Arabidopsis thaliana: one gene and its partners. The protein of the gene in region 2 interacts with the protein of the main gene of each other region in a pairwise test. Each region holds a gene or a part of one and is shown on either strand. Other genes may lie near its edges.

Region 1 (7,265 bases), on a different chromosome or scaffold from region 2:
TTTAGTCATGGAGCTTATAAAAATTATTTTCAGTGATCCATAGAGTCTAGAGATAGGCAAGGACGGTACCGGAAGACTGTTTATACCTTCAGAGACAAAAATATGAGTAGAGCTTCTAATGAGAAGAGAGTGTTTTTAGTTTTCTTTGTAAACATTTGAGTTTAGCTTTGATTAACATGACATTCACAAATATGCTATGCTTCTATGCTCAATGAATTGGTGTATAAGATACTAAAAGATAGTGTATAGTTTCTTTTGTAGAGCTTTCTTTAATATCAAAATGTTTTTTTCACTTAATATTTTCTGGTTATCTTTGGGGTCATCTTTTAATAGAAACTGAGAGGAGAAACACTCAAAATCAGAGTTCAACGTTGAAACAATAACAGAGAGGAACAGAGCAAACCAAACAAGAATTACTTGAGTAAATACAGAGCAAACCAAAGAAATTTTAGTAAATCTAATGACAACAAATATGTTTTCTAAATTATTGTATAAATTACGAATTGATAAAATATTTTATTATCATATTGAAGAAAGCTTTTAAAATTTCAGATTCACAAATTTTACAAATTACAGTTTTACAACAACAAAAAGAAATGAAGTCAATATGATAATCCCCTACTATAAATATAGACTCGTGAATAAAACTCAAATCAGTCTCTGAGGTTTTGGTGAGAGAAAAAAAGAACTCAAAACAGAGTGCGTTTGTTTCTGGGAATCTTGAAGCCTCTCCCACTTGCGAAGACGAAGCTTGCTCGTTAGGTAGTTTTCTTCTTCTTCTTCTTCGTTTCAATTCCTTTTTCGTTCATGTGAAATGTGAAATCATGTGACGTGACGATTAGGTTAACGATCGAATGTCTTGATCTCGTATATGATTCTTTTCTAGTTTCTTGATCGGCACGTCTTGTTGTTTTCTTTCTATCGAGACTGATTCTAGATGTTCTTAAGGATCTTGTTGGATGAAATTTACATGAATCTGTATTCTAGAAGATGAACTTTGCATGAATCACGACGAACTGATTTAGTTGTTGCTGTAGATTAAGTTTCTCGAGATAGATTCGAGATACACGAAGGGTTTCAATGAATAATCTGATCTGTTTCGATGAACAATAATCTTTATCTTTGACTTATGGATTAGGCTAATTTGACACCATGGTTGGAAAAAGCAAATCACCAGAGTTCAATTTCGAAGATGGGATGGCATACTTCGATGCTGTGAAGGTCGCATTGCAGGATACTGAACCTGAAAAATATCAAGAGTTTGTAAGAATCTTTATTGATTATACTGCTAATAGGTATGTTTTGGTTTGCTCTTCAACAGTTTAGAGAACAAAGACACATGTGAGAATTGATTCTGATGTTATTTTTCTCTTTATAGATTCGGTTTCGAAACTTTGAGTGCAAGCTTGCAGGAACTCCTGAGAGATCACGCGAATCTGTGTCATGGTTCAAATGTCTTACTTCCTTTTAGGTTGCAGACAGCCATCCCTCCCGAGGCTAGCGCAGAGTTTCACATCAATAAGGTGGTTGGAAGAAGCGTACCACCGGCGGTGGCGGTGCCTACCATGGATGATGCGACTTCTTACCTCAATGCTGTGAAGGAAGCATTTCATGATGAACCTGCAAAATATATGGAAATTACTAAGCTCTTGACTGATCTTAAAGCTCGTAGGTATGAATTGTTTTCTCCATGTTATGTTTGATTTTCTCAATTTACACAACAAACACACATGTGAATTGATTCTGATATTACTAAGTCTCTTTGTAGAATCAATGCCGCTAGTGTCATTGCAAGGATGGAGGAACTCTTGAAAGATCACTTGAATCTGCTTCTTGGTTTCTGTGTCTTCCTTTCACCTACAAGGAGGTTTATCACGAAGCTTAAGGTAATAGAGTGCTTAAATGCTTATAGTTACTGGATGTTTCTTATATGTTAACTTGTGATTTAAGTAACAAAATTGTGGATGTGCAGGCAAGGTTTCTGGGCGATGGTAGTCAAGTAGTTGACTCAGTTCTCCAGATATTGAGAATGCACAGTGAGGGAAACAAGTCCAAAGATGAGGCGTCTCAGGAGGTATGGTTCTTTGTGGGACACTTTGTGTTGTGTGTTGCACTTTCTTAGTTCTTTGGTTTGATTTGCTTGTTACCTTTTGCAGGTCCGTGCACTTATTCAGGGTCATGAAGATTTACTCATGGAGCTTTCAGAAATTTTCAGTGATCCATAGAGTCTAGAGATAGCTAAGGACAGTACTGGAAGACTATATACCTTAAGAGACGAAAACATTTGAGTTTAGGTTTGATTAACATGACATTCACAAATATGCTATGCTTCTATGTTCAATGAATTGCTGTGTAAGAGACTAAAAGAAAGTGTATTTGTAGAGCTTTCTTTGATATCAAATGTTTTTTTCACTTAATATTTTCTGGTTATCTTTGGGGTCATCTTTTAATAGAAACTGAGAGGAGAAACACTCAAAAACAGAGTTCAACGTAGAAACAAAAACAGAGAGGAACAGAGCCAAAAACTACAGAGCAAACCAAATAAGAATCAAGTAATTCTAATAACAAATATATTTTCTAATTTAAGTAAACCTTATATGAATTACGAAATTGATATACTCCCTAGTATAAATATAGACTCGTGAACAAAAACTCTATGCAGTCTTGAGGTTTTTACTTTGCTTCTAGAAATCTTGAACTCCTTACTCTGCGAAGACGAAGACGAAGCTTCTTCTTGTTCATCATTGCTGCTTTGCTCTGCTTATATCGGTAGCCATACTTGGTTCCTCTTTCGATTTATCATTTGTTTCGTTCAGTTGATATGTCAATTCACCAGACGATTAGGGTTACGATCGAGTTTTCTGGTTCTCTGCTTTCAAATCGTTCCTCAATCTAGGGTTCTTGAGGAAGTAGATCGATATTTATTGCACTTGGCTCTGTTTCTTGAAAAACTTTAAAGAAATAGCTTTGAGATAGTAGATGGATTCAAATGATGTGATCTGACCTGTTTGGATTATAACAATGGTTTTAGGTCACACCATGGATGGAAGAAGCGTACCATTAGAGTTAACTAAGGATGATGAATACTCATAACTCGGTTCTATGGAGGAAGTATATCATGATGAACCTGAAAAATTTAATCATATTCTCCACCTCATACGTGATTATTTTAATCATAGGTATGTCTTGATTTCCCCCGGTTATGTCTGGTTTGTTCTTAAACAAATACAGATGTGAAATTGATTCTCATGTTTCTTATTCTCTTGTGTAGAGACGATAGAGCTAGAATCACTGCATGTATGGGGGAACTCATGAGAGATCACTTGAACCTGCTTGTTCGTTTCTTTGACTTCTTTCCAGCTGAGGCTAGCGAAGGGTTAGCCCAACTTCAAACCATTGCTGCAACAAGCGTATCACCGGATTCTACTATTGATGATGCGGTTTCATACATCAACACTGTCAAGGAAGCATTTCATGATGAACCTGCAAAGTATTACGAGTTTTTCCAGCTCTTTTATGATATCAGGTATAGGTATGTATTGTTGTGTCCCTCTTCAATTCTGTTTGCCCTTAATTTCAAGTCTCAATCTATACAACATTGTGAAGTGATTCTGTTTGTTATATACTATTCTCTTTGTAGATTAATTGATGTTGCTGGTGGCATTACAAGGGTGGAGGAACTCTTGAAAGCTCACAAGAATCTGCTTGTCCGTTTGAATGCCTTCCTTCCACCTGAGGCTCAGAGAATCCTCCATCTCAAGATTGAGCAACGGGCTGCATCTGATATTAACAAAAGAAAACGTGTAGCGAGTTTTATCGGCAAGCTTAAGGTATAGAGTGCTAAAATACTAAAACTAATCCTTACCATTTACCATTTTGATGTTCCATCTATGCTAACAGATCCGTCGATGTACAGGAAAGGTTCCAGGGGGATGATCGTCATGTATATGAGTCGTTTCTCGAGATATTGACAATGTACCAAGAAGGAAACAAGTCCGTGAATGACTTGTACCAGGAGGTAGGGTTCTTGGTTGGGACACTTTGGTTGGATTACACTTTCTCTTAGTTCTTTGGTTTGATTTGCTTTGTTGTCTTTGCGGGTCGTTGCACTTCTTGAGGGTCATGAAGATTTAGTCATGGGGTTTGCAGACGTTTTCAAGAGACCCACTGATCCATCAGGGTCAAAATCTGCTAGAGATAGCTAAGTACATTAGAAGACTGTCTCTGCTTTAGTATAGGATGCTTTGAATATAATGCATGTTTGGGGTATAAGAGACAAAAAGAGTAGTTCTTTCTAATGAGAAGTGAGTGTATAGTTTTCATATGAGATTAGTTTGATTCTTACTCCATAGAGAACATGATGTCATGATATGCAAATATGCTTTTATATTTGAGGTGTAGATTGATTGGATATAAGCGACTAAAAGAGAGTGTATAGTTTCTTCTGACATGTACATGTATGATATTTTCCTCGTTACCAAGAAGACATGAGATTTTGGGGTCATCTTAGTTCAACGTAGAAACAAAAACATAGAGAAACAGAGCCTTAGCACAAACCTATAAATGACCAAAAAGTACAAAGCAAACCAAACAAAAATATAGTAGTACCAATTACCAAATATGTTTATCAATATAGTAAATCGGGTAATTCAAGTGAATTGCTGGTCTCACACATGGCACGAGGCTTCTTGCTTGCAAGTGAAGCTACAGTCAAATTCTGCTAGCGTACTTGATCAAAAGATATATGTAGCAGGATGCTGTAAGGATGGCGATTCGAATTCCTATTAAAACTTGATGGAGGTGTTCGACACAAAAACACAGACTTGCGATCCTAAGCCAATCCCTTGCAGCGAGACATTTGGCGGCTTTGACTACAAAACTCTATGTCTTGACGGAAAGTTCCACGTAGGACCAGTACCTGTTGATAAAACAAGGATTAGATTGGCTGATTATGGTGGAAAGAGGGCAGTTTTGTGGCCTAATAATATTCACTCGCTTAGGAAGATGATTTGGTGTGCAGAGGTTACGCTTGAAAAGCGCAAAAGTGGTGAAATATGGGGGAAAGTTGAGTGGTTTGTGTAGAGTATATAAGTAAAGGATAGTTTAATAAATCATTAATCCCTAATTCATTCTAATGTAGTCACTATATATATTGTAATTATATCATCTAATGAATTATTCAGCCTTCAATACTATATGGTATCAGAGCTTTAAACGATCCCTAAACCTAAATCTAGCCGCTACTCTGTTTTTCATCATTTTTCATTATTTTTCTTTCTCTTCAATGGCTTCTGAGACTGTCATTACATCTGATTCAACCAGTCTTCTCAACGTCAATATGACTAATGTTACCAAACTCACGTCCTCTAACTTTCTCATGTGGAGGCGTCAAGTTCAAGCTCTACTCAACGGCTACGATCTCACCGGCTACATTGACGGCTCCATTGTCGTCCCACCTGCAACCATCACTGCAAATGGTGCAGTTACGGTCAATCCTGCCTTCAAGCACTGGCAAAGGCAAGATCAACTCATTTACAGTGCTCTACTAGGCGCTATTTCAATCTCGGTTCAACCGATCCTCTCCCGAACAACAACATCTGCTGAAATTTGGACTAAGCTGATGGACACATATGCTAAACCCAGCTGGTCTCACATCCAACAATTACGACAACAGATCAAGCAATGGAAGAAGGACACCAAATCCATCGATGAATTCTTCCAAGGCTTGGTGATGCGATTTGATCAACTAGCTCTCCTTGGCAAGCCGATGGAGAGTGAGGAACAGATGGAAGTCATTGTGGAAGGGCTCTCCGATGACTACAAACAGGTCATTGACCAAATTCAAGGTCGTGAGGTACCTCCCTCTCTCACTGAAATTCACGAGAAGTTACTTAATCATGAAGTGAAACTTCAAGCTGCGGCATCGTCTCTTCCGATCTCTGCAAATGCTGCAAGTTATCGTCCTCCAGCCAACAACAAGCATAACAACTCCAACAACTATCGCGGACAAAACCGTAACAACAACAATCGTGGTGCTAATTCATACCAACAGCCAAGAAACGATCAGCCCTCTTCTCGTGGTTATCAAGGAAAATGCCAAATCTGTGGAGTTTTTGGCCATAGCGCTAGACGTTGTTCACAGCTTCAGATGTCTGGCGCTTACTCCACCCCATCTCCAAGTCAATACCCTAATGCTACTGTTCCATGGCAGCCCCGTGCAAATATGGCAGCCATGTCGTACAATCCTTGGCTTCTTGATAGCGGAGCAACACACCATCTTACCACAGATTTGAACAACCTTGCTCTTCATCAACCTTACAATGGTGGAGAAGAAGTCACAATTGCTGATGGCTCTACTCTTCCGATCACTCACACTGGTTCATCAACTCTCTCTACTCAATCTCGTTCCCTTGCTTTAAACAATATTCTATATGTTCCCAACCTGCACAAAAATCTGATTTCAGTTTACAAATTGTGCAATGCTAATAAGGTTTCTGTGGAATTCTTTCCTGCCCACTTTCAGGTGAAGGATCTCAGCACGGGGGCCCGGTTACTCCAAGGCAGAACTAAAGACGAGTTATACGAGTGGCCAGTTCCTTCAAACACACCCATCTCTTTATTCGCTTCACCTACACCAAAAACAACACTTCCTTCATGGCATTCAAGGCTTGGTCACCCGTCTCCGCCTGTTTTAAAATCCCTTGTTTCTCAGTTTTCTTTACCAGTTTCAAATTCCTCTCAAAAACATTTTCCTTGTTCTCATTGTCTCATTAATAAAAGCCATAAGCTTCCGTTTTATTCAAACACAATTATCTCCTACACACCTCTTGAATACGTTTACTCTGATGTCTGGACTTCTCCAGTTACATCTGTCGACAACTTTAAATATTATTTAATCCTTGTTGATCATTATACCCGATATACATGGCTGTACCCATTGAAACAAAAATCACAAGTACGGGAGACTTTTGTGGCGTTCAAAGCTCTAGTGGAGAATCGTTTTCAAACCAAAATCCGAACATTATATTCTGACAACGGTGGAGAATTCATTGCGCTACGACAATTCCTGCTAACACACGGCATTTCACACTTGACCTCTCTTCCTCACACGCCGGAACACAATGGAATTGCAGAACGAAAACATCGTCACATCCTCGAAACCGGGTTAACTCTTCTCACTCAAGCCTCTATTCCAACTTCATATTGGACATATGCGTTTGGAACTGCGGTTTACCTCATAAATCGCTTGCCCAGTTCTGTGCTCA
Region 2 (7,723 bases):
TACCAATTTTTTTTTATAATATAATTTAACATTACATTAAAAAAAAATGTTTACCGGAGAAGTCTATCTTCAGTATCTCGCTCCTTTTCTAAGATCACATATAACATATTGAGTTGTGGACGACCTAATTCAAAACCGACATTCTCTTCGTTATTTCTTTGTTGTTTCTTCGACTATGTACATTGTTTTCATTATGATTCGAGCATTAGAGATTTTTGAAAAGATAATTTTATTTCTTTTTTAGCATATATATATGTAATTAATCGTGGTGTGGACATTGTGGGTGTTTAGCTGTTTACTTCCCAAAATCGGATGTTTTTGTCAAAGCTATTATTGAACCAACGAACATATAATGTCCTCCTCGACGACAGGCATCTTCGTACACACACAACTATACAAAGGACTAAAATTAACCGGCAACATATATAAATATTAGATGCAAAATATTATTAACTGATACCTTTTTTAACAATGAAATGAAATATACGAGTTCAATTAAATTCAAGTGGTGGTGATACAACAACAACACTAACATAAACAATTATTTACGCGTTTAAAGTTAGTCAAAACATGTAACATAACATCTTAATTTATAATGAGCAAAAAACTCTCTCCATTCAATATAATAAATCATCCGAAAAAATAATATCTTACTTTGATATGTAAATGAAGGGTCTATAACGGTCATATCCCACTAACAAAGAACGATTGAGCTGCGTTACGTGATTTTACCGGCAACTCCAAAAATCTGCAAATTCATACCTCCGAAAAATTAGAAATTTAGTAATTTAAGAATCCATTGGACCATCCTTCACTGGACCTTCAAAACTGTCGGAGAATGTCGTTTTCGGCTTAGTCATTTTCAGCTATGGGGCTTGTGGCCCAAGATTAGAGACGCTTTGCTCTATATATGTAACCAATAATAAAATCCTATTTCATATTTGGTGAGGCTTAACTTATATATATATAAGTCATGTCTTCAGGCAAGTGTAAGTAGGACATGTTTTGGGGCCAAACTGATGAAGATAAATTGAAGGGCTCATCAGGTTGGTTACATTATATATGCATGGTCTGCATGGTACCATGTGTGCTTGTCTAACTTTGTTTTTCTTTGATTTATTTATGGAACTGTGTCACTTTTGGTTCACTATCTGACACTTTTTCTTCTTGATGGATACAAACAAATATTTCTTTCCTCGAATAAATCATGGTTACTGATGAAAAAAAAAGAAAGATATGACAATCACAGACCCTTGTTTAATTCAAATATGTAAGATATGTTTAAGTTTAAACCGGTTTAGGGTTAATTCTAGAGCTAAACAAGCTCAATATCGTGGTTAAGCAGCTTGTTAAGGGAGAGTGTGTGTGTTCTCATTTTTGGGAGTACTTTATTAAAACAATTACCTTCTCTGTTTCAAGAGCCAAGATTGAGCTCGATAGATGATGATGATTTTTTTTTTTATTCAATTCTCTTGTAACTCTCAAAGATCATAGTGAGTGTTCATTTATAGTTTGCTTCGGTTTCTACTTACGATCTTGGCTTGTTCTTGATCTGATTGGTTTGTCGATTAGCTAGTCGAGAGAAGTTCTTGGTTATTTGGTGAATACTGTTTCGACCATTTGTCGAAAACACGCGTGAAGTGATGATAGCAACATCTATGACAAGTTTTGTCTTTTAATGTTTTCTTACATATGGAGCAATGTGATGCCCTTCTAATAATCTCTAACAAAGAGAACCCCATTGGATGCTTTATTAGTTTATTTAACGTTACATGTATTTTGGTATATACTACCAAAGAATTGTATTTGATATTGTGTTTAATTTTTCTTCTAGTACTCTTTTGCTTTTAGTGTCACAATCATCCTACACAGCAACTGTCTTCATAGTTTATTTCTATCTGTTTTGTTCTGTTTAAATGTCTTATTAGCAACTTTTAAACAAATAGAATGATTGTTCTAACTTTTAGGTAACCTAACTTTGAATTATAATATTAATTCCTTTTTCTTGTGACTCTGAAATCAAATCTTCCCACAGATCTCAATATTCACTTTTCTTCTCTTTTTTCCTTTACTCTATACTTTATACGGTTGTTGGATGTCTACTTGAAATCCATTAATGTATAGTTAATAGTTTACAAATCTCAGACTAAAGTAGATATGTGAAAAAGATGTACATTAGATTATCTTTACTAGAAAAAAATATACACAAAATAGTACTAACAATCACATGAAAAAACAGTAAAAAGACACTAAATTCAAGAATCAAGAAAAAGAATCTCAAAGCTTGAGGGACAAGTCAAGTTTCTGCTGCTCTTCATGATGACTTGTACTTAACAACAATCCTTTGTCTCCGTGCCATTGTTCAAGAGTCGGTGACCCTTCTAGAACCCGTCCTGTGTTGCTTGGGCTATCGATGTTATTGGACCGTGAATTTACTGAAGGAGCCATCATCATCATCTGATGATGATGATGATGAAAATTATCCATTGAGGGAAATTTACCTATGGCTGGTTGTTGATCAAATGGAAGTCTTGACCAGTTGATCTGACCATAGTGACCACCAAACCCGTTATAAGAACTTAGCTTGTGGCTTATCGAATGCGCTTGGATCCCTAAAGACCTATGGTTGTTGTACTGTCCGTGGAAAGGAAGTGGAGAGAAACCGTAAGGATGTCCAAAAGCTGAGGCTGACGCTGCCATACGTTGTCCTCTCTTCGCCAACGTTCTCTCTCTCTTGTGTGCGTTTTGGTGACCACCAAGTGCTTGTGAGCTATAGAAAGTTCTTTGACAATAGTTGCATGAGAAAAGCTTTTGTTCTGTGGATGTTGTAGATTCGTTAACGATACTCGTTGTGTCGTCTATGCAGTCGATGAGATTGAGTTCGTGACTAGAATTATGAACGTCTCTTTCTTCGTCTTCGATGCTCTGGTTTAGAGAATCTTGATATGGAAAAGCAGTGGATGAGGAAACTATTGAAGCGTCCATGAGAGCTAAAAAGGGATAGATTTTTTCAGGAGATGATTTTTTTCTTTCTCTTTCTCTGTCTCTTTCTATCAATAATAGCTATGAGAAGAGGTTTATATCAGTGAATGGGAGCAGAAGTAGATGGTATTAGAAAGGAATAGACAAAGGAAACAAAGACCCTACACTAGAACATTTTCTTAGGGTTTTGTAATAAGTGGACCAAAGTACTATGATGAGAGCGATAGGTAGGTTTGGTTTGCTGTCACACCCTTCTCACAAAACACTTTAAAGCTAGTTGATTGGAACTCCACCATCTAAATACCTCTATCTATATATATGACTCTTACCCTTTTTGGCTGCTTCCTCCTTCAATAGTCCAACAAATACATTAAGTGTGTAGAATTTAAATTTCGCTTTGATTCCGGTTCAGATTTATTTGGGTTTCTAGATTTTCAGTTTATGAATGACCAAATATCTAAGTAAACCAAATGAGTACTATACCATTGGTAATCCACAATCCATAATAATTTTTTTTTTGTAGTGCATGTTAAGGAATCCTTTAATATTTTAAGTATGAACATTTTCTAAAAGAAGTTAAGGGATCGAAAAGACAATGGAAAACGAAGCAGTTTCTCAAAATAGTAAGTACATCATGATGAAATGACAGAAGAGAAAGATGACAATAAAAATTGAAAAGGAAGAGTACTGTTCATGGACCATCCAAATTTGTTCAGGTCTGTTTATGTCTACTTTTGTATAACTCCACGAGGTAAGTGACCATTTCTGTCTCCTTTGGCTTCTCGTGTGGTCCTCTCCTTCATCTATTCTTTCTTTTGTCTTCTATTGAGTCAAACCAAAGCTCAAACTAATCACAAAGTAAAAGAACTGGTTATTCGAACTTTGTAATAATAGTTAAGTAAGTATTTCGGGTAAGAATATAGATCGATGATCTTGACAAAGCACCTGGTTAGAACAACTTGGAAACCACTCGTACGTTCATTATTATATTTATCGATTTTACTTTGTATCTTAGTGAGAAATTGTAGACCATGTATATGACTTAAAGAATATTTCGTCTTTATGATGGATCAACCTTTCTCTTGTTGTGTAATCTTAAAGGAAATGATATTTGAAACTTCCACACGCTCTTCTACTTTATCATCTAAAGAGTTTAGTGGATTTGTCAATATGAATTTTGGTTTCCCACTTAATTTCACATCATGACATACAACTAGGTTGCATGACAAAAGTCACTTTCTTCAACCAATTAATACTTTTCTTTTGGAAGCCACATCGGCAAGATCAAACCCACTTAAGCTTTTGATAACAATCTAAACCACATTTCCAAAGTTTTAGTTTAAATTTATTTAGCTAAATTTGAATTACTTTAGCTTGTAATGAAAGAGAAAAGATCTAATGGTTTAAAGTTATGTATATTTGTCGTATGCCAATTGTGACCTAGTTGATGGGTCCAACGTTACATATGGCCGACACAAAAATGGGAAAAAGCTAATTAAGAGTTTTCAGTTTCTAATTAATGGCTAATTATTTTCATAAGAAAACTAATTTTCCTTTAATAAATGTATATGTGAAGTTCTTTCTGAGTTATATGACATCTCCATTTAAGTATACCTTCGTTCTTTGTTTCATCAATCCTCAATACTCAATAGATTGATCATAAAATGTTAGATTAGTGAGTAATGTGAAATCGTGAATTGGGAAATTAAAGTGTATTATGGACTATGGTAGCTTAATGAGTATAACAATTTACCACGTTGTATTTATATGATATAGGTCACATAGTCATCAATCATAGTCAAAAGATACAGATGAGAACATTGGATCTTACTTTAAACAGATGGTGACATGTAGCTATTCATAATTTTCCCTGTATGTAGAGAGATTTGATTCGTCTTTCAAATCTCTTTGTTTGACAAAGCTTTTGTGTATTTTTTAATCTGTCAATGCTATCGGTAAGTAATTAAGTATCATATAGTAAAAGTATTAACCACTAACCGGGTTCATCTAAGTGTTTTTGGGCCTTATTATAATCTAATAGTTAACATGATTAGCTAAATTTATTCAATTCAATAAAAGTTTTCAAAGTGAACGAAAGTTACAAATCTGCAGTGATTATTTTCTAAAAGTGGAATAATTTTATTGGTAAAAAATTACTAAAAACTAATTAACCCAAAATTGACATATTATCAATTGCAGACATAACATTCATCCACTATGGGTTTACTTACCACGTGGAGTTATGCACACTAGTAACCTCTTTGGAATTTTATCCAAAAAAAAAAAAACTCATTGGAATTATTTGATGGCAGATTTATTTCGATGAGAAATGATTGATTGTTTTTAACTGTGGTGTAGCAGTGAATCTGTCATTTGAATTGATATATAGTTTACTTGTTGTTGGTTTCCCACATAAGGTTGTGTATTACATCATTACTAGATCATAACCCGTGCTGTATAGCACGGACATTAATATTGTGTATAAACTAAATTGTATACTTTATTTGAATTACATAAGAAATAGTATAATATAAAAGTGTTGTCATAATATTTTTCAATGTTTTTACTATTTGGATATAATGCTGCATTGGATTGAATTTGTTTAAAAATATTATTTTTATAATAAATACAACATATATAATTTTAAGTAAATGTGTAAAATTTGTATACAAGTTGTTCTAGTAAGAAACATGTTTCCTTTGTATTAAAAGATCTAATTTTTGGCCTAACTTAAAATTAGTTTTTGTATAATGTTTTGGTTATATTTGTGAACCTAATTGGGCCCTATATTAGATTATCTTTGATAGGGCTCACGAAAAAACAGACCCGATAACCAATCCATTATCCGAACCAAAAAACCGGGTTAGAGCGGGTTAGAATTTTAGGAAATTTCCTTATTAGGTAGAGTTTTAGTAAACCCGTGGATATCCGATTGGTCCAGAAATTACCCTTTATCCAAAGAGGGTATTCAAAAACCCAAACATTAATTTAATATCCAAAATATTAATTATATTTAATCGTAATATAATCTAATTATCTAAAATTATAATTATAAATCTAAATATGTCAATTAATTTTGGACCTAAATATCCAAAACAACTAAACTATTCAAAAATTATGTGTTATGTTTGTCAAAATTTAGTAAAATATATTCAAATATAATTAAATTTATTAAAACTTAACAAATCTAAAAGTTTTTTTTGTTTGGAGACCCACTATCTACATACAAAATACCCGTTTCAATTTTTTTGGGTATTTTTAGGGCCTGAAACTTTTTATCCAAACTGACGCAAACCCAAATGGACCCGACCCGAACCAGAACCAAATATTTAGAATTATTCTATTGGGTAGTAAATCATATACCCATTAATCCCAAACCCGAACGGGTTCTACCCGAACGGGTTCTACCCGAACTTGAATAGGTTACTCATATGCCCAGCCCCATTCTCTGATTTAATTATCTAAAAACTCCCAAAAAAACATATGTTTTGCTGTCTACGTTTTATTCGAAAAGTTTTACATCCTCTTCTGCCAAAATCATTTCATGGGACATCCTAAAACCCTTGGAAGAATGATTCCATGAATGAAGAAATCCTAATTTGAATATACCAAGAGGTCTTGAAAGGTTTTAAGTTTTTGATAGGTGTGTATGTGAGAAGGTACAAACATCGTGATGGTAATTTGCTTATTTATAATTTTAACTTGCAGTATACCGCATGTAAGCTTATATTTTAGTTAAACTAAAAACTTTTATTGTAAAGATGATTATAAATATACGATATTATTTTATTTGATTTTAAATGTATAATAAACTACGAGTTGTATATGTTTTGTTGATATTATTTATATTGTTTAGTGTTTAAAATTATACACTTGTATTTTGATTGTTAATTTTAGAGTTTCACCTGTAGTATACCATCTTGTATTAATATCGATCTAAACCCGTCAATTCTAGGATTTTCCAGCTTGTATTAAAAATTGAATCACATCATACACATAAAAAAATCTAATATGTTATTAATTATTGTAGTATATAAGATTATAAATTTTCAAAACAATATATATGAAATTGAATATAAATATTCATATTATGACCCAGTACTCAGTAGAAAGTTTTCTTAAATCTATTTTTGACCCGTTATAATATTGTTTCATGTATTGAATAGTTTATATTCGTTTTTAAAAATTTAAATTATGGCATATGCGAAAAAATTCTAATTATTTTTTTATAGCGATGATATTATTTTTCGCAAAAATAGAATCATATAAAGATGAGAAGTGAACTATAATAATTAATAAAAAAATTAATATGATAATTTAGATATCAAATCCAATTTGTTGATTTTAATTGGTTACTTTTTTGGAAATTAATAATGTATTTCGTTTTTAATTAAGTTTAATTAATTAAATTAGTATTTGACTTTTTAATTCTTAAAGAGATGAATTAATTTACTCTTTAAATTTTTTTTTCTAATTGCATATCTATATAATTACTTACAAAAGATAAGGTTACATTTAAAATATACTTTCCAAATAATATTGTATGATATAGTTCTGAGTCTGTCCAAGATTATTTTTATGCACACACTAGTATAAAAATATGGTAAAAATGGACTAGATATGCATCATGTTAACTTTATTTGTTTTCGAAAAAGTAATGAGAAAACTGACCGGGAGAGATCTCATATAAGAAGATAACGAGTACCACATTCCCACATATAATTCCAAATGTAGACAATTG
Region 3 (9,081 bases), about 17 Mb from region 2:
ATTCATCATTCTATTTTTTTTGGTGGGGTGAAAAATGAATGCAGCCGAAGGTTTGGGAATAAAGAATATTGTACCAGCTTATCGTAGTCCATTCCTTGAACCCAATGATATCTTAACCGGTGTTAGTTTTGCTTCTGGTGGTTCCGGTTTAGATCCAATGACCGCCAGAATTCAGGTACGGTTATTAAACTTAAGATAATGTGCTTTGAATTTCTTTCATCTAACAATTAAAAATGACTAATATAATTTCATATTTGTTAAAAAAAAAATATAGGGAGTTATTTGGGTACCAGACCAGTTAAATGACTTCAAAGCTTACATAGCAAAGCTGAATAGCATCACAGGAGACGAAGAGAAAACAAGATCAATCATATCGAATGCAGTTTTTGTCATTTCCGCTGGGAATAACGATATTGCCATCACATATTTCACAAATCCGATAAGAAACACTCGATACACTATCTTTTCATACACTGACTTGATGGTTTCATGGACTCAATCATTCATAAAGGTATAATACTTTTCAAAGTTAATTCCAAAGTTACATACTCTGACTTAAAATTTTAAATTCCATTATGGACAAAACAATATTGATATAGGAATTATATAATTTGGGAGCAAGAAAATTCGCGATTATGGGAACATTACCATTGGGTTGCTTGCCGGGAGCAAGCAATGCTCTTGGAGGTTTATGTCTAGAACCCGCAAACGCAGTGGCTAGACTCTTTAATAGGAAGTTAGCGGATGAAGTCAACAACCTCAACTCGATGCTCCCAGGTTCTCGTTCGATATACGTCGACATGTATAATCCTCTCCTCGAACTTGTCAAAAACCCTCTAAGATCAGGTAAAGTCTAAATCACCAAAATCTTTACTGCTATAAAATTTTCAATTCTTGTGAATCAATTTTTCATGATCATATTTTTGGTTTTTTTTAAGGATTTATCTCGCCAACTAGACCTTGTTGTTGTGCTCCGGCGGCTCCCATACCGTGCTTGGATGCGTCTCGTTATGTGTTTTGGGACATTGCACATCCATCGGAGAAAGCTTATCAGACAATTATTCCTCCGATTATCCAACAAATTCAACAAAGCTTCGCTTGATTTGGGTGTCTTTGTCTATTCGACGATTATTCTATTTATGTGTATATAAAAGATATATTATTCTTGTAAGTGTAACATGTTGCTTATGATTATCTTATCAATGAATACATCTTAACTATTTATATATTAAAACACCTCAATATATAGTGCCTCCATGTACATACACAATCGTTGTTTCCAGGTCGTACTGCCCTTAAATCTTTTCTTCTATTTTTGGGCCCTTTTGAAAGGTTTTAGACCCAATTGTTTCTGAGCTTACTTAGAAACTGCACACAGCTTCTATAAAATCAACATGAAGCCCACAAATTTGTTTATAGTTTGACCAAGTTCAAAGATTATTTTAAAAGGCTAGACTAGCACCAAACAAAACTACCCGCCACGCCACATTGAGAATTTGTGAGCCGCACAAAGATCTGTTTTATTTTGTTCTACTTTAATTTATTTACTTTGTTGTGTTCCAAATAGAAAATACAAACTTATTTCCAATTAGGCAATTAGCATAAATGTTTAGAAGGAAAAAAAATGAAGAAGATAAGTTTCTAAATATTCCGAGTCAGCGCCTCGTCAACGTGTGGTTAGGGTTGGCTCCGAAGACCATGGGAAGCTGGTCAGGTCAACGGTCATCCCGATTTTTGAGTTAGTCAACCATTTATTGTAAAAATTAAAATTTTAATCTTGGTAACATATTTGATGAACAATAATAATAATAAAAAAACTAGATATTTAAACTGAATGTGTTGAGCATGTTATTTTTTCGTGTTAGACTTTTATGTCAAACCATAAAAATTATTTATTGGAGAATGTATATGGAAATATACACTAATATACATCTTTCTCCAACTAGACTATACACACAATTAAAAACATTAAAAATCTACTGTTTTCAGTTTTTATAAGTACATCGCTGATTCATGATACTTCATACTTGGCTACTTGCATTATATAAATGGGCAATATATATCCAAAGTCCAAACTCAAAGGATAAGATCGGAGTATAAACATGCACATCAATCTCCAGTGCTTCAGAGTTCAAGTGGAATACAAACAATTTTAGAATAGAAAGTGTTCAGTAATATTTTAATTTCTAAACCCTTAAATGTGTTGGGAAGAATCTTACATGAAATCATCAAATCCATTAGTTTATTAACACTTTTCACTTTTCTCTTCCGTCGAAACTTATCCACAAGTTTTGGATTTTGATGTTTCGTTTTCTTAAAGAGCCATTTGTGAATACTTAAAGTTATAACAACAACATGATTAATATATCGAATATACATATACTTGTAGAGTTAATGAAAGGAAAACACCCCCGACATCTTATAATAAAATGTTATAAAACTAAAAAGTGTACATAAACTACTACTCTGAAACCTTAACACATTAATTTTCCAATAGTTAGAAACTTAGAATAGTTATATGGCCTTATGAGATGTCTACACTAGTTGTTAAATGTCAACACGGATATTGAAATTTCTTGGAACTGATTCTGAATTCGTTTAAGTACTTCGTTTAAGAGCTTGATGCGCAACATAAAGCTCTTATTTGACACGTGTCATGATGTTAATGGTTAAGCTTGACTGCCATATTGGCCTAGACTACCAGATTTGCCACGTGTAATATATGCGGCGAAATTTATTTCATTCTTCGATAAGTTCTTCAACATCCTATGATGTTCAGGCATTCTTAAACCACAATTAACAAAGGCCAGTGGCAGAAATGGATAAATGAGAGAATGACAAGTGGATAGACAAGAGGGCTTGAGAGTGGATGAGGATCAACAAGCCACGTAGACGAGGAGGTGGGCTCTTGGGAAGAGGCAAGGGTCGGTTTACTTCAATAACCACCCTTTCTCAAACTTAGAATAATACTACTATCAGCACTTTTTCTACATCACAAAGGCAAATTTCTTGACCGGTTTTATCACTTTTCCCACGTAGGATCAATAAAAAAAGATAAACATTCGTGACTTCATGAATCATGGGGACAAACATCCTACATGGTACCAAAAGTAAAATACATTACTTGTTTTATTGTCATCCCAAACATTACAAAGGGCCAAAGGCAATATTATTTCTAGATACTTTCAGTGGAAAGTATTAATATATGTGTGTAATGTTGGGAATAAAATATAGTCGACATTGGTGTATCGAAAGGTCCATTTAAAAACATAATATATTGTAATGATCTATAGGTTAGATCCTGTTGGTATATCAGGTTGGGAATAAGAAAATACTTTTGTTATACAATGTATTATAGAATATGTTGTGTTAGGGGGCACTGCGGCTATTTGACAATGTTTGAGGCATATTAGTCCTAGGGAAGTTTATAATAAGCTGCATCACCAAATCCTTTATACATATCTAAGCGTAGTAAGATGAATGTAACTGATCATAGATTTTAACATATGATATGAGCTCTGAATGGAGAAAATATATTTATCTAATTAAATAAAATATGTCATTCGGGTCCAAAAATGATATGCAGACTTAAATTTTCAAACTATTCAAACTAGGAAAATAAAATTGAACTTATCTTCTGGAGATTTTTTTTTTTTTAAATTGTGCTTTGTATATTTATTAGTCCAATATAAACATAAATGAGATAAGTACACATAGGCTTTTTGTTGTTGGGTTTGTTCACATTTGTTAGTTCTTTTTTTCTGTCAAACAGTAGTATATTTTCAGTTTTTCTGCTTCAAATTTTGTAAGCAAGAAGTTCTGTTTCATTTTAGTTTATAAAAATTTATAACAACATGTAACTATATGCTTTTAAAGTAGACTCAAATACTGGGTGTTATCTGTGTATAGATTAAGATACAACTAATTGTATCTGTGTCTTAGTGTCTATATATACGATTATCTATTTATCAAAACGGAAAAACCATAGCCAATTACTTGCATTTGGGTTGGTGTTAAAGACAACCGCAAATTATTTATCAATGAATCATAACTTATCTCAGAGAAATACAGATCTGAGACCCCAAAACTCCTGAATATACAGTTCACTACTTTTATTTCCAATTATTCTGGTTACCAAAAAAACAGAGATTAATTGACATACACGCATCTACAAAGGCGCGTAGGGTAAAACAGAAACAAAAACAAGATATTTATCATAAAAAAATGCCACGTGTTATTAACAAGTAATCAAAAAGGACCAGACTTCGTTGAGCTGTGTCTATAAAATCCAGAGAAGCAATGCCCTCAAGCTTCTCCATCATCAAATTAAAACCCTCCAGCCTCCAACAACAAAATTTACCAACACTCTCTCTTTCTCTTTCTCTCTGAAAACTTAAAACGATGGCTATAACCGCCACTCAAAACGACGGCGTTTCACTAAACGCCAATAAGATTTCGTATGATCTTGTGGAAACTGATGTTGAGATCATCACCTCCGGTCGTCGTAGTATTCCGGCACACTCCGGCATCCTCGTAAGTTTCTTTTCTTCTTACTTTCTTTGTATGATCGAATATTTTTTTATTTTGGTGCTTATCTTTTTTGTTTGTTTAAAATTGTTAAATGCAGGCTTCGGTCTCACCGGTACTGACGAACATCATCGAGAAGCCGAGGAAGATTCACGGCGGATCATCGAAGAAAGTTATTAAGATTCTCGGTGTTCCATGCGACGCCGTTTCAGTCTTCGTCAGATTCCTCTATTCTCCGAGGTTCGTCTTTCTCTCTTTTTCATATCTTCTTGATCGTCAGATTTTTTTTTTTAATCCGTAGATTTATTACTTCAAAAATACAAATCATACTAAAAAGAATGCTTGATTAAATACATCATCTTAAAGATCTTTACCAAACTCGACTTTTCCAACGTTTTAATCATACATTAAAATCACTACAACCAGATTGCGATTGATTTAGACTTGTTTCATATTCAAAAACGTGTGAAACACAACACAAGGAACACGAAACTAGTACCAACATCAAATTTGAATAAATCAACGGCAAATTTTACCCTTAGTATGCAAAATGACTAGAATACCCCTATATGTATCTTTTGTTTAGTGTCACGGAGAATGAGATGGAAAAATACGGAATCCATCTACTGGCTTTATCACACGTGTATATGGTGACTCAGTTAAAGCAACGGTGCACTAAAGGCGTCGGTGAGAGAGTAACCGCCGAAAACGTTGTCGATATTCTCCAGCTGGCTCGTCTCTGCGACGCACCTGACCTCTGTCTCAAGTGTATGCGATTCATTCACTACAAGTTCAAGACCGTTGAACAGACAGAAGGATGGAAGTTTCTTCAAGAACACGATCCTTTTCTTGAACTTGACATTCTCCAATTCATCGACGATGCAGAATCGGTAATTAACTCAAACCACACTTTTTTGTTTTCTTTTTTTTTGGTTCTTCAAGAAAACTCTGTTTTATTGAATTAGGTTTCTTTTGGGTCAATTTCTTGCAGAGGAAGAAAAGAAGAAGGAGACACAGACGAGAACAGAATCTGTATTTGCAGCTGAGTGAAGCCATGGAATGTATAGAACACATATGCACCGAAGGTTGCACACTGGTCGGACCATCGTCTAACTTAGACAACAAGTCAACATGTCAAGCAAAACCCGGTCCATGCAGTGCGTTTTCGACTTGTTACGGACTTCAACTTCTTATACGTCACTTTGCAGTATGCAAGAAAAGAGTCGATGGCAAAGGTTGTGTCCGATGCAAGAGAATGATTCAACTCCTTAGACTCCATTCTTCGATTTGTGACCAATCTGAATCTTGCCGTGTCCCTCTTTGCAGGTAAAAATCCGACATTTTAGAATAATCAAAACCACATTTTAAATGTTTCTAATGATAAAAGTTTTTCACTTTTCGATAGTAGATCTCATTTGATTTTTTTTTAACTTTCGGCGCCAATAATAATTATCTTTTTGTGGTGGTAGCCTACTTATTAGATGATGAGTCGTGATCGGACGGCTGGAAATATTTTGTTTGGTAGAATTATTAAAAGATATTTTAAGAAATGAGAATCTGATCTCGTTGTCAACTTTTTATTTGTTTTGGTGATTGGAGTAGGCAATATAAGAATAGAGGTGAAAAGGACAAGAAAATGGTTGAGGACACGAAGTGGAAGGTTCTGGTGAGAAGAGTAGCGTCTGCTAAAGCCATGTCTTCGTTGTCTCAATCAAAGAAGAAAAAAAGTGAAGTGTTATTTAAAGAAGAAGCAGAAGATTTGATCAGAATCCGGAACAAGTTAATGTGAATATACAATATATGTGTTTTTATTAGATTATATAGTGAGCGATTGTTAGAAGCCATTAATTACTTGAGTCGGAAGGTTTATTTGTTTGTTATTTGTCTCTCGGACTGGTTGATTGGGTTAAACTTGTCAATGAGTAACCCTTTGAATCTGTCGTTTTGTTTGGTCGGTCGAATTATATAGAAATGTATTATTGGTTATAAAATGGTATTAGGGTTTTTGGAGACTTTGTGGCAAAAAGTATACAGATTGATCCGGTTTAAACTAGCTAACGTCAAACGCAAAAGGATTACTGAATCTAAAGTAATGTGACAAGATGGAAACAAAATAATTATTCTCTTTGTAGTTGATTGGTCATGCCAAATTATATGACTAGACCTGGTTGCATATGAATCACAAAAAATCTAAATGAGATTCAAGTTGGATCGGTCTAATCAATCACAATAGCTTCAACCATGCATGATACAAAGGAGAATTTTGATGGAAATAATAGAAATTCAATATTGGAGATCAAAATTGACCAACCGGTCTTAGTCACTGGTATAGTGGAAGGTTGATCATGATTGAGGATTCAAAAGCAAACAAGGCAAATTATTAGAAAAAAACATGTGCTTATAATTAGTTAAAACAGAGATATTTTTATTAAATTCTTCATTCATACTTGGGTTCGACTGGAAAAAGGAAAGACGCGTGGGGGACAGATGAACCACGCAATGTGGTTTCGTGTCGGATGTCAATTACTCTTACATTTCAGTTCATACTTCTTAACTACCAGATGAATGCACTTAATAAAAAAAAAATCAAATACAAGAATTGTTCTTTTGAAATGGAAATGAATATTTTCATGTTATAACACGAGTTTTGACATAAAAAGGTTAAACAACTCGAGCAAGTTCATTCACTAAAGTTTCAACATGAAACTTATTCTAAATTGTTATTTTTACATATTTTGAAGAAAAAAAACAAAAAAGAAGATGACAATATCAACCCGTAAAGCTTTCTGAGTAGTGGAGCAATGCAGTCACCGATGTTTTAATACTAACGACAACAATGATTCTTATCATGACGATAGAGGTGACTAAAGATTCGACCACGTATGAATTAAAGAAAAGAATGTTTACATACGAACGACAAAAAAGATTCTTATCAGGAGTAATGACACAGAATAAGTGAGTGGTGACTAAAGATTTAACCAAAGACTTGGATGAGCTGGAGTAAGCAAAGACTTGGAAGCATCCTGCAGGTTCCGTGGAGGTAAAGAGTCATGGGAGTGATACGATTAATTATGCATTGTTTGATATTTTGACTTGTGAGCGACGATGTGTTCCTGTGATTGAGAATTATATGACCTAGAGATGTTCTAGAGGCTCTCTTGTGTAAACAGTGTATCGGTTCTTGTGGTTAAGGAATGAAAGAGATTCATAGCTCTAACTTTAACATTCAGTTTTAGGTGTTAGCACTGAATAAGATATTTATCTCTGATCTTCTGACGTTTCTCGACATTTTGTTGTATTATTACTTTGTTAGTACTTAGTACCAATAAAGAGATATTTATAGCAAATGTAGATTTTTTCCCATTATTTGATATATTAAATTCAACTAAGATATGCAATGCAATAGAAAAGAAAAAAACAGAGTAATCGGGTGTGAATGTTAGTAGACATGAATCACTAACGTTGTCACACATGAACTAATCATATAAATCCTTTAAGCTACATAAACACCATCATCTTGGTCTAAAAATCAGAAGAAATGCTCTGTTTCATTGAGAAAGAAAAAGAACTGATATGATCCAAAAGCAACGAACAGTTGCTAGTAGATTCAAGATCATAACCCATTATTCTCTAAGGTACACAGCCTTAGCAAATGAACGAATCACAAAAAAACAAGAATGTCCAAAACCAATGCAATTAAAACTCAAGAGTTGGAACTTGGAACAACAACGCTATTGAAGCAGAGAAGAATGATAATAAAATCTATTAATACTAGTAATCAAACTTGGAAAAGATTAATGTCACTCTTCTGATGTAGATTACTACAAGTTTATAGTGCAAGTCTTTGAATGCCAACACAGAGAGACTAGTATGACTCACACTAACTATGTCTGCAAATTCTGCATTTTTGAGCTTTGATAATTGTTACAACCATTTCTAGCTTTACAACTAAATAGAACATCAGTATCCTCTTCATCTAACTGACTAACTCAAGACATAGAAGTTGATAACAATCTGAAGATACCAACCATCCGCATCAACTGCAATAAACATTGAATTTCTAAAAGCGATTGTGAATCAGTACCTGGATAACAATGGAACTTTACCCTAAGATATCATCTAAGGTTCCATGTGATCCAGAGTACACCAGTTAAAGCTTAAAGAAGTAATCTCATTGCGACACCTAACTCTACAATCAAACCAGGTTAAATACCCTTAGCGGGTCTCCAAGCAAATGACACATGAAAAGTACACACTGATAACGTTTATACAATCACTAAGAACTGATAATGAAATGAAGAATTCATGCTAGCTTAGTGCATAGAGGAAAGAAACAAACTTGGAGCATCCAACTAGCAAGAAAACTCAAGACAGCAAATTGGCAAATCCTATAGAATTCAAAATCATAAAGACATACTGCACCAGTGTGTGAATTGAGCAAACGTTTTATTAGAAATGTGTTGTCAAGACAAACGATGAACACAGACTAATGACAATGCAATGGAATTTAGAAATTTTTTGTTCTGATTCAATAAAAAAGGTTCATCCTTTGAA
Region 4 (8,130 bases), on a different chromosome or scaffold from region 2:
ACTTGTTAGGTTTCAAGAGAAAAATGTTTCATATTGGCCTTGCTTTTATTTCTTTCCTTCTAGTTTCTGTTTAACAGGTAGGTATTTATAGGGTTCTAACAATTCCTATGTACAGGAAAAGATCAATTCAATATGTTAAGCAGAAAATGGCTCGTTTGATGTGGTTTGCAGTGCATGATCAATTAGTTCAGCTCAACTTTTGCTGTTTAGTTTATTCCCTTTTTATTAATACAAAACTTGAAACTCTTTATTGGACGTGATGTGAGTGAGTGGGTAAGTCATAAGGAAGATTTGGAAGAAGGCCGGGAAGTATCTTCACTCGTACCATCTCTGCAACCGATGAAAACGTATCAATGAAATGGATCATTTCTTGTTGAGTACATACAAATTTTTCTTTCCAACACCATTGAAACTGGTTTGGAAAAGGCATTGTTTCAAACTAAGTTCTCTTGAGAAACAGTTTCAAAACTTTAGGAGCTTCCCTCAAGGCAACAGAAACTGTTACAATGTGCAGCCTCCGCAGGGAAAAGGCTTCGAGTATTTGATCATAACCCGTTTTGTTAATGAGGTTGAACCTATCACCATATAAGCTATTTAGAACTCTTGTCATTGCTGAATATGTTTGCGAATCCATTCTATTGTGTGTTTCTTCGTTTTGTAATAACTCTGGTTATGAGTTTTGAGTAGAGAGACATTCAAAAAGGAAGCACATTTACAAAGTCCTAAAAGTTCATTACAGTCATCGACCAAAAGGCTTGTTAAACAACTTAGCTAATTCATTACAACCATCGACCAAAGACAACTTAGCTAATTCTCACACGAGAATCCAAAGTCCTAAAAGTTCATTAACGTAGACAGAGAGACGAATCCTAAGTTAGATAACAAAAGAAGGCATTACATCTCCATTTAAACCCGAGATTAAAAACCGATAAACCTATAATACAATCCAATAGCTTCCTCTTCTTCTTCTTAGTTGGTTTGAGCAAGCACCGAAGTCACCTCCTTCAAAACATCCATCTTCTCCAACAACAACTCACATTTCTTAGCGTCCACAAGCTTCATCTACATTAGCATGCATGACTTAATATAAAGGTGAGAAGAAAGGCGAAGCTTCTTAAATTGATGGGACTTTACACCAAAATGAGAGGTGTAGAGTGGAACACATTTCGCTTTCTATTTTGAATTCGAGAATATCATACACCTGATGAGGTATATGTATTATCATTCAAGCTTAAAGATTTTTATAATATATTAAGATAAGCCATATTCATCGATGGTGTTTTTTTCAATGTGTTTTGTCAATTGGAGCTGAAGGATGGAGATTAAATTGATGCAATGTTGTATCAACAAAATGGTTATGGTCCTCTTCTATAAGTATTTAGAGTTTGAATGTTTCAGGTGTGAATGTCAAGTAGAAGACTACATGCACGAGTCAACCGTTCTTTAACATAAATCTTAATTATAAATATTAAAAGAAAAAATAAATACATGAATGGTGTCTTGGTATTAGGAGCACTACAGAGACAACTCAACTGATTTTAAATAACAAAAATCTTAAATATAAATCTTAAAACAAAAAAAAAATACAAAAATGATATTTTGATAACATGAGCATTATATGCACATATATCAACTGATTTTAAATAACCAAAATTTTAAATATAGATATTAAATAAAAAATAAAAATAAATGAATGATGTTTTGGTAATAGGAGGATTACATGCATGAGTCAACTGTTGTTTAATTAACATAAATCTTAACTATAGATATTAAATGAAAAATGAAAATACATAAATGATGTTTTGGTAATAGGAGGACTACATGCACGAGTCAACTGTTGTTTAAATAACATAAATCTTAAATATAGATATTAAATGAAAATACATGAATGTTGTTTTGGTAATAAGAGGACTACATGCACGAGTCAACTATTGTTTAAATAACATAAATCTTAATTATAAATATTAAAATAAAAAATAAATACATGAATGGTGTCTTGGTATCAGGAGCACTACATAGGCAAGTCAACTGATTTTAAATAACAAAAATTTTAAATATAAATCTTAAAACAAAAAAATACAAAAATGATATTTTGGTAAATGGACCACTATATGCACATATATCAACTGATTTTAAATAACAAAAATTTTAAATATAGATATTAAATAAAAAATAAAAATACATGAATGATGTTTTGGTAATAAGAGGACTACATGCATGAGTCAACTATTGTTTAACTAACATAAATCTTAATTATATATTAAATGAAAATACATGAATGTTGTTTTGGTAATAAGAGGACTACATGCACGAGTCAACTATTGTTTTAAAAACATAAATCTTAATTATAAATATTAAAATAAAAAATAAAATACATGAATGGTGACTTGGTATCAAGAGCACTACATAGGCAAGTCAACTGATTTTAAATAACAAAAATCTTTAATCTCTTAAAACAAAAAAAAATACAAAAATTATATTTTGGTAACAGGAGCACTATATGCACATATATCAACTAATTTTAAAATAACAAAATTTTTAAATATAGATATTAAATAAAAAATGAAAATACATGAATAATATTTTGGTAATAGGAGTACTTCATGCACAAGTCAACTGTTGTTTAAATAACATAAATCTTAGTTATAAATATTAAATAAAAAATAAAATACATAAATGGTGTCTTGGTAACAGGAACACTACATAAACATGTCAACTGATTTTAAATAACAAAATCTTAAAATAAATATTAAAATAAAAATGATAATACATGAATAGTGTCTTGGTAATAGGAGGAATACATAGAAAGATACACTGATTTTAAATAATAAAATATGAAATAAAAATACATAAATGATGTATTGGTAACATAAGCACTACATGCACATGTCAACTGATTTTAAATAACAAAAATGTTATGTTAAAACAAAAATAAAAATACATGAATGATGTCTTGGTAAGAGAAGGACTGCATGCATAGATCAACTGTTTTTAAATAACAGAAATCTTAACTCTAAATATTAAAACAAAAAGGAAAATACAGAAATAATGTCTTGATAATAGGAGCACTATATGCAAAGGTAAACATGTATTTTTTCTGCTTCCCTCCCATTCAAAGCCTTAATCAATGAAGTTTTGGCTAAAAGAATGATCTTTGACCGATGGAGTATTGTGTCGCTTGATGTGATCTTTTTACATTAGAATTGTGGTCATTTGTCTCAGGGAAAAGAGGAGCTATACAATATAACAAGAGGTCCTTCTTGAGGTGGTGAAGATCATAAAGAAGCACGGTTACGTTCCTTTTGTAATATTCCTTGGATCTCGAAATCGAGTACAAGTTCCTATCATGCTAATGGCGGAGATGGATGAAGGCATTTTACATTGTAATCTGTTCATTTAATTTGGATTGCTTTCATTGTTTCATTTGTTTGACATACATAGACACTAATAGTTGAGGATTATGTATTTACAACAATAAAGTGTTCCACTACACAAGGTACAATCGATATATATATAGTGTTAACTCTCATTTGTGTATATATGCATATCAGTTTGTAGGTGTTACTATGATAGTAGTACATTTATTAATTTATAAAAATTTATACGTAAAATACAATATTAATTTTTTAAAAAGAAAAATTTTAATTTAGTTTTTCTTTATGTTTTATTGTTTGTATATTCTGTTAGATTTTTTTTTATTACTTTTTTTATTTTTTCTCTGTAAGATATTGTGCATGTATACGACGTTAACGTGAGACTTAATCCAATTTTTTATTACACAAATCTTAACAATGATTTTTCATATAAAAAAAGTTACAAAACCAAATATGACGGATCAAATACGCAAAGAGTTATGTGAATACAAAAGAGATCACACCAACTATACTCTAGAAAGAGTTGCAATTATGACTTGAACAAAAGTTTCATATAAAATTAGTCTTTGAATGTATGCTAAAGATTTATGATTATTAATTTTATGATATTACTGGTACCATATTTTTACATAGGGATTTCAAAAAAAATATTATCTTATTATCTTATCGATTTTGGTTAATTTTTACATTACCCCGATTTGAGACCGACAAAATTTATTAATTTATCGTGTAATATGTTTTGTTCAAATACCTTTTAATATCTATTTAATAATAAAAAAATATTCAATCAGAAATGGATAATATATAATATAATTATTTACTTAAAATATATCAGCAATGAATCTTAAAATGTAGAAAAAACTAAATTTTAATTTATTATATAAAAAAGGTAGATAAAATATTTTATACTATTAAGTGACTAAAATGATAGATTTTTGCAAGAGCAAAATTGTACTATTGATGAATATTAAACAGTAGAAAAAAAGATGAAAGTGTTTGTTTTGTTATGAATGTTGAGAAAAGTATGGCCAAGTGTTACTCATCCTATTTTGCTTTTCTTTTTCTCTCGGGTTTCACTTTTTAAAGGTCGTGAAGATTGGGAATCACTGCTCTGCATGCGCCCTAGAATCAGCAAGTCTAAAGCAAGCAATAAGCATGGTGACTCCGAAGCAGATCGATTTCTCTTCCTGTGTTGGTGCTGATAACTCCAACGGTACCCTCTCCCATCGAAGATCTCCACGGAATATTCCTTCCTCAAAGCGTGCTGCTTCCGTCGCAGAAGAAGAGACTATGAAGAAGAAGATGAAGATGAAGAAGAAGAAGAAGAAATTGGATCCGCCGTTGATCGTCCGGATCTGGAACGAGGAAGATGAGCTCTCTATCTTAAAGGTATTGTATTGATCTTCTCCATTTATAGTTTGATTTGGTTTTGCATTGTGATTTTCTAAAACCAGATTTTCGAAATTGCTCAGGGGTTAGTTGATTACAGAGCTAAGACAGGATTCAATCCCAAAATTGATTGGGATGCGTTTTGTAGTTTCCTCGGAAGTTCTATCGTTGAGAGATTCTCCAAGGATCAGGTTTTGAGTAAAATCAGGAAGTTGAAAAGGAGGTTTCATGTTCACTCGGAGAAAATCAATCAAGGGAATGATCCCAAATTTACTAGGTCTAGTGATTCTGAAGCCTTTGGGTTTTCTTCGATGATTTGGGGACAAGGTGATGATGATGGTATGGATAAGGAGCACGAGGTAAACGGAAATGGTGCAGCGGAAAACCGGACTAACGAGAGCGGGGAGGAGATGTTGAAGGAGCACGAGGAGGAAGTGGCTAATACTGAACTTTTAAATGAGAATGGGGCAGCCAAAACAACAGAGAATGGGACTAGTAGTGGAAAAGAGAGACATGATGAGGACAATGATGATGATGATGAGTTATGCGCGGTGCAGGATGCATTTGAGGCGGTGATGTCGCAAGGTTTAAGTGGTTATCAAAAGAAGTTGCAGCTTGAGAAGCTGATGAACCTTGGAAATGGTAAAAGAAGAGAGTTGAGTGATGAATGGAAAGCGTTATGTGTTGAGGAAACAAGATTCAATATCAAGAAGCTTAGATTTTCCGCCAAGCTTGCAGAGGCAGCTAATGATAGTTAGATGAAACCAATATGCCCTTGTAGCATTTGGTGTTGTTTAGGTTCTTAGTAAGTCATAAGCTCTAGTCTGTTCAGTGTATTTATCTTTGGATCCTGTCTTTCTTCTACTTGGGCAAGTGTTTGTAAGATATTCCACTTTTTACTCAAGTATCCACAAGAGCCAATGTAGTAGAGTGGCTTGTGCAAGAGTCTAGAGTCTAGGGTTAATAATGTGCTTTAAGGCATGCTTGTGTGTGTGCCTAAGAGTGTAGTGAAGTAGTATAAGTAAGAGTGTGTGTGTGTCTTGTAATATTATCCAAGATATTAACAATGTAGAAGATTAAAAGAAAAATGGTTTTTGTTCTTACTCTCTAAGACAATGAAACCTTAAGAGTTATATCTTACCAAATAAAAGAGTCAAACATTGATTCATTTCAATATAGAGTTTCATTTGATTTCTAGCTTCACCTTGGAGCAGAACTTAAGGACGCAACTTGTTTCTTCTTCCCAAATCAGTTCCAACATGATGGATTCGTTTGCCTTCACATCGTTAGCTTGGATGAATCCTTGCCATCCTCCTACCATTCGTAGTCTTTTTCTTTTGTCGTCCTCGAACCGCAGAGTCGTTAACCACTTCACACCATGTTTATCCAACAGAGTCATTTTAGTTTCTTCATTGATACCATTCATCCTCGTGAAAGGAACCGGAAGACGCTGAAACATAGATTCACACAAAAGATTCTCATTCTATAGACTGTTAAAAGACAATGGCTTGGAATGATGAAACGTACCAGTAGAGAACTTTGGATTGTATAAGGTGTTAGAGTTAATGTCACAAATCGGTTTTCGGATAGTAAAGACTTTCTTCTTGAGATTTTCTCGTCGTGGATACTCTCTTCATCGCTTTCTTGCTCTGTCGAAAGAGAGACTACTTCATTAGCTTCTTCTGGCTCGTTGGGGATCAAACGTAGAACAAGAGTTGCTCTTTTCTTTATCAGTTTGAGAGTTATGATACTTCCAGCTCTTAGTCCATTGGCACTACAGAAACTTCTCCATCCTCGTTTGATGAGAGAAGTTCCGGATGATTTCTTTACTTTCAAATCTAAAGTCCATGATTTTCCCTTTTCATTAATCAGAATCATCTCTCCACATCTTTTGTCTACACCATTTTCCCTCATAAAACGCTTTGGAAGATACTGGAACAATACAACATAAGTTTCAGACACTAGAATGAGAGTTTCTTTTGGGATTCAAAAGTAAGAGTAGAATACCAGTGTGTCATAGCGTAGACTCGAAGGGGAGACATTAGCCACAAAACAAGAGGGATCTTGTGAAGAAGACTCTGCCTCTCTTGTTACATTCTTCTTCACTTTCTCCTTCCTTTGAATCTTTTCTGAAAAAAAGAAAGAAATAAAATCCATATGAGCACGTTTCTTGAATGTCAAGTATCATGGGCAGAGTTAGAGAAAGAAAGAACAGAACTCACCAAGGTTGCGCTCTGCATCGCTTTCCGGTTCTTCGGGAAGAGACACTTCATTAGCTTCCTCTTTTGGCTCATTGGGTAACAAACGTAGAACAAGAGTTCCTGCTCTTTTGATCAGTTTGAAAGTGTAGTTATCTCCAGCTTTAAGCCCATTGGCATCACAAAAACTCACCCACCCTCCTCTAACATAAACTGTTCCGTTTGATGGCTTTTGTCTCAAGTTAAAATTCCATGATCTGCCCTTTTCATTCATCAGAACAATCTCTCCAGATCCGACTACACCATTATCCCTCACAAAACCCCTTGGAAATCTCTGAAAAATTCATTAGAATACAACATGAGTTCAGACCCTAGAATGAGAGTTTCTTTTCGGGTTCTTAAGAGTCAAATACCATCAAGTCATAACGTAGACTCGAAGGCGCAACATTAGCCACAAAACAAGAGGGATCTCGTGAAGAAGACTCTGCTTCTCCATTTGGATTCTCCTTCACTTTCTTTTTCTCTGAAAAATAAGTGTTATATAGTCAAACTGGTTATCTCTACTCACTGATCCACATTCCAAAAGCAAACCACGTTTCTTGAAGAGCCAGAGACAGAACACAACTCACCGTCACCGAGGTTGTTCTTTTCGACTGAACACGAACCATATTGAATCCCACAACAACTAGGTCCCAACAGTGTTACATGGAAAGCCAAGTCACTCTCTTGTCTGAAAACAACAATGTCACCGATTCGAAGATCATGTGAGACAGCAAACTCTTTCCAACCGTCGGTGAGTCTCTGGCCATCTATCTTCACTTCCCAAGTTCTCTTTGACGCGTCTGATCTCAGCTTCGCCGTCTTCTGCTCATATCTTCCTTCTATATACTTCAAGAAGAAGGCTACAGGAATTGTCTGAAGCAACATGCAAATACAAAACCAGACTCATCTTTAGCTTCTCAGAGAGACATAGACAGAGATAGAAGAAGGGAAAGAGCGAGAAAGAGAGTACCAAGGAGGCGTGGAAGCCAGGAAGAAGAGGCTTGAAGAAATGTTGATGCGCCATTTTCAAAATCTTGAGAAGTCCTAAATGGCTAAATCTGAAAGTCGACGGTACAGTTTCTTGAAGGAACGAGTGTAATAAACTCCAACTTGAAGATGACAGTTTA

The links.
Region 1: the proteins of ZFP3 (region 2) and AT1G27280 interact in a two-hybrid assay, tested with the Arabidopsis thaliana proteins (one large-scale study listed by BioGRID).
Region 3: the proteins of ZFP3 (region 2) and BT1 interact in a two-hybrid assay, tested with the Arabidopsis thaliana proteins (one large-scale study listed by BioGRID).
Region 4: the proteins of ZFP3 (region 2) and AT4G00270 interact in a two-hybrid assay, tested with the Arabidopsis thaliana proteins (one large-scale study listed by BioGRID).

Annotation. Positions count from the first base shown.
Region 1 is NC_003070.9:9,470,925-9,478,189, forward strand, and holds AT1G27280 (Paired amphipathic helix (PAH2) superfamily protein), read left to right. Parts: upstream 1-3,102; coding exon 3,103-3,179; intron 3,180-3,271; coding exon 3,272-3,532; intron 3,533-3,640; coding exon 3,641-3,830; intron 3,831-3,916; coding exon 3,917-4,066; downstream 4,067-7,265. Other genes in the region: AT1G27260 (Paired amphipathic helix (PAH2) superfamily protein), read left to right, coding at 1-43; AT1G27270 (Paired amphipathic helix (PAH2) superfamily protein), read left to right, coding at 1,153-1,295, 1,379-1,672, 1,769-1,886, 1,973-2,074, 2,157-2,225.
Region 2 is NC_003076.8:8,682,786-8,690,508, reverse strand, and holds ZFP3 (zinc finger protein 3), read right to left. Parts: upstream 3,322-7,723; 5' UTR 2,986-3,321; coding exon 2,278-2,985; 3' UTR 2,094-2,277; downstream 1-2,093. UniProt on the Arabidopsis thaliana protein: Acts as a negative regulator of abscisic acid (ABA) signaling during germination and early seedling development. Involved in the regulation of vegetative development and fertility. Modulates red light signaling in seedling photomorphogenesis.
Region 3 is NC_003076.8:25,330,720-25,339,800, reverse strand, and holds BT1 (BTB and TAZ domain protein 1), read left to right. Parts: upstream 1-4,230; 5' UTR 4,231-4,401; coding exon 4,402-4,533; intron 4,534-4,627; coding exon 4,628-4,767; exon of another isoform or gene 4,768-5,096; coding exon of another isoform or gene 5,097-5,113; coding exon 5,114-5,417; intron 5,418-5,518; coding exon 5,519-5,853; coding exon of another isoform or gene 5,854-5,857; exon of another isoform or gene 5,858-6,129; coding exon 6,130-6,316; 3' UTR 6,317-6,629; downstream 6,630-9,081. Other genes in the region: AT5G63170 (GDSL-like Lipase/Acylhydrolase superfamily protein), read left to right, coding at 45-175, 275-511, 600-846, 939-1,102. UniProt on the Arabidopsis thaliana protein: May act as a substrate-specific adapter of an E3 ubiquitin-protein ligase complex (CUL3-RBX1-BTB) which mediates the ubiquitination and subsequent proteasomal degradation of target proteins. Also targeted for degradation by the 26S proteasome pathway.
Region 4 is NC_003075.7:114,868-122,997, reverse strand, and holds AT4G00270 (DNA-binding storekeeper protein-related transcriptional regulator), read left to right. Parts: upstream 1-4,354; 5' UTR 4,355-4,529; coding exon 4,530-4,763; intron 4,764-4,846; coding exon 4,847-5,521; 3' UTR 5,522-5,913; downstream 5,914-8,130. Other genes in the region: AT4G00280 (ER protein carbohydrate-binding protein), read left to right, coding at 147-185, 286-347, 475-589; MEE45 (Transcriptional factor B3 family protein), read right to left, coding at 5,947-6,246, 6,291-6,695, 6,771-6,892, 6,986-7,295, 7,375-7,484, 7,591-7,876, 7,974-8,027. UniProt on the Arabidopsis thaliana protein: DNA-binding protein, which specifically recognizes the GL1 enhancer sequence. May be involved in leaf initiation. May play redundant roles with GPL1 and GPL2 in cytokinin responses by regulating the transcript levels of type-A ARR response genes.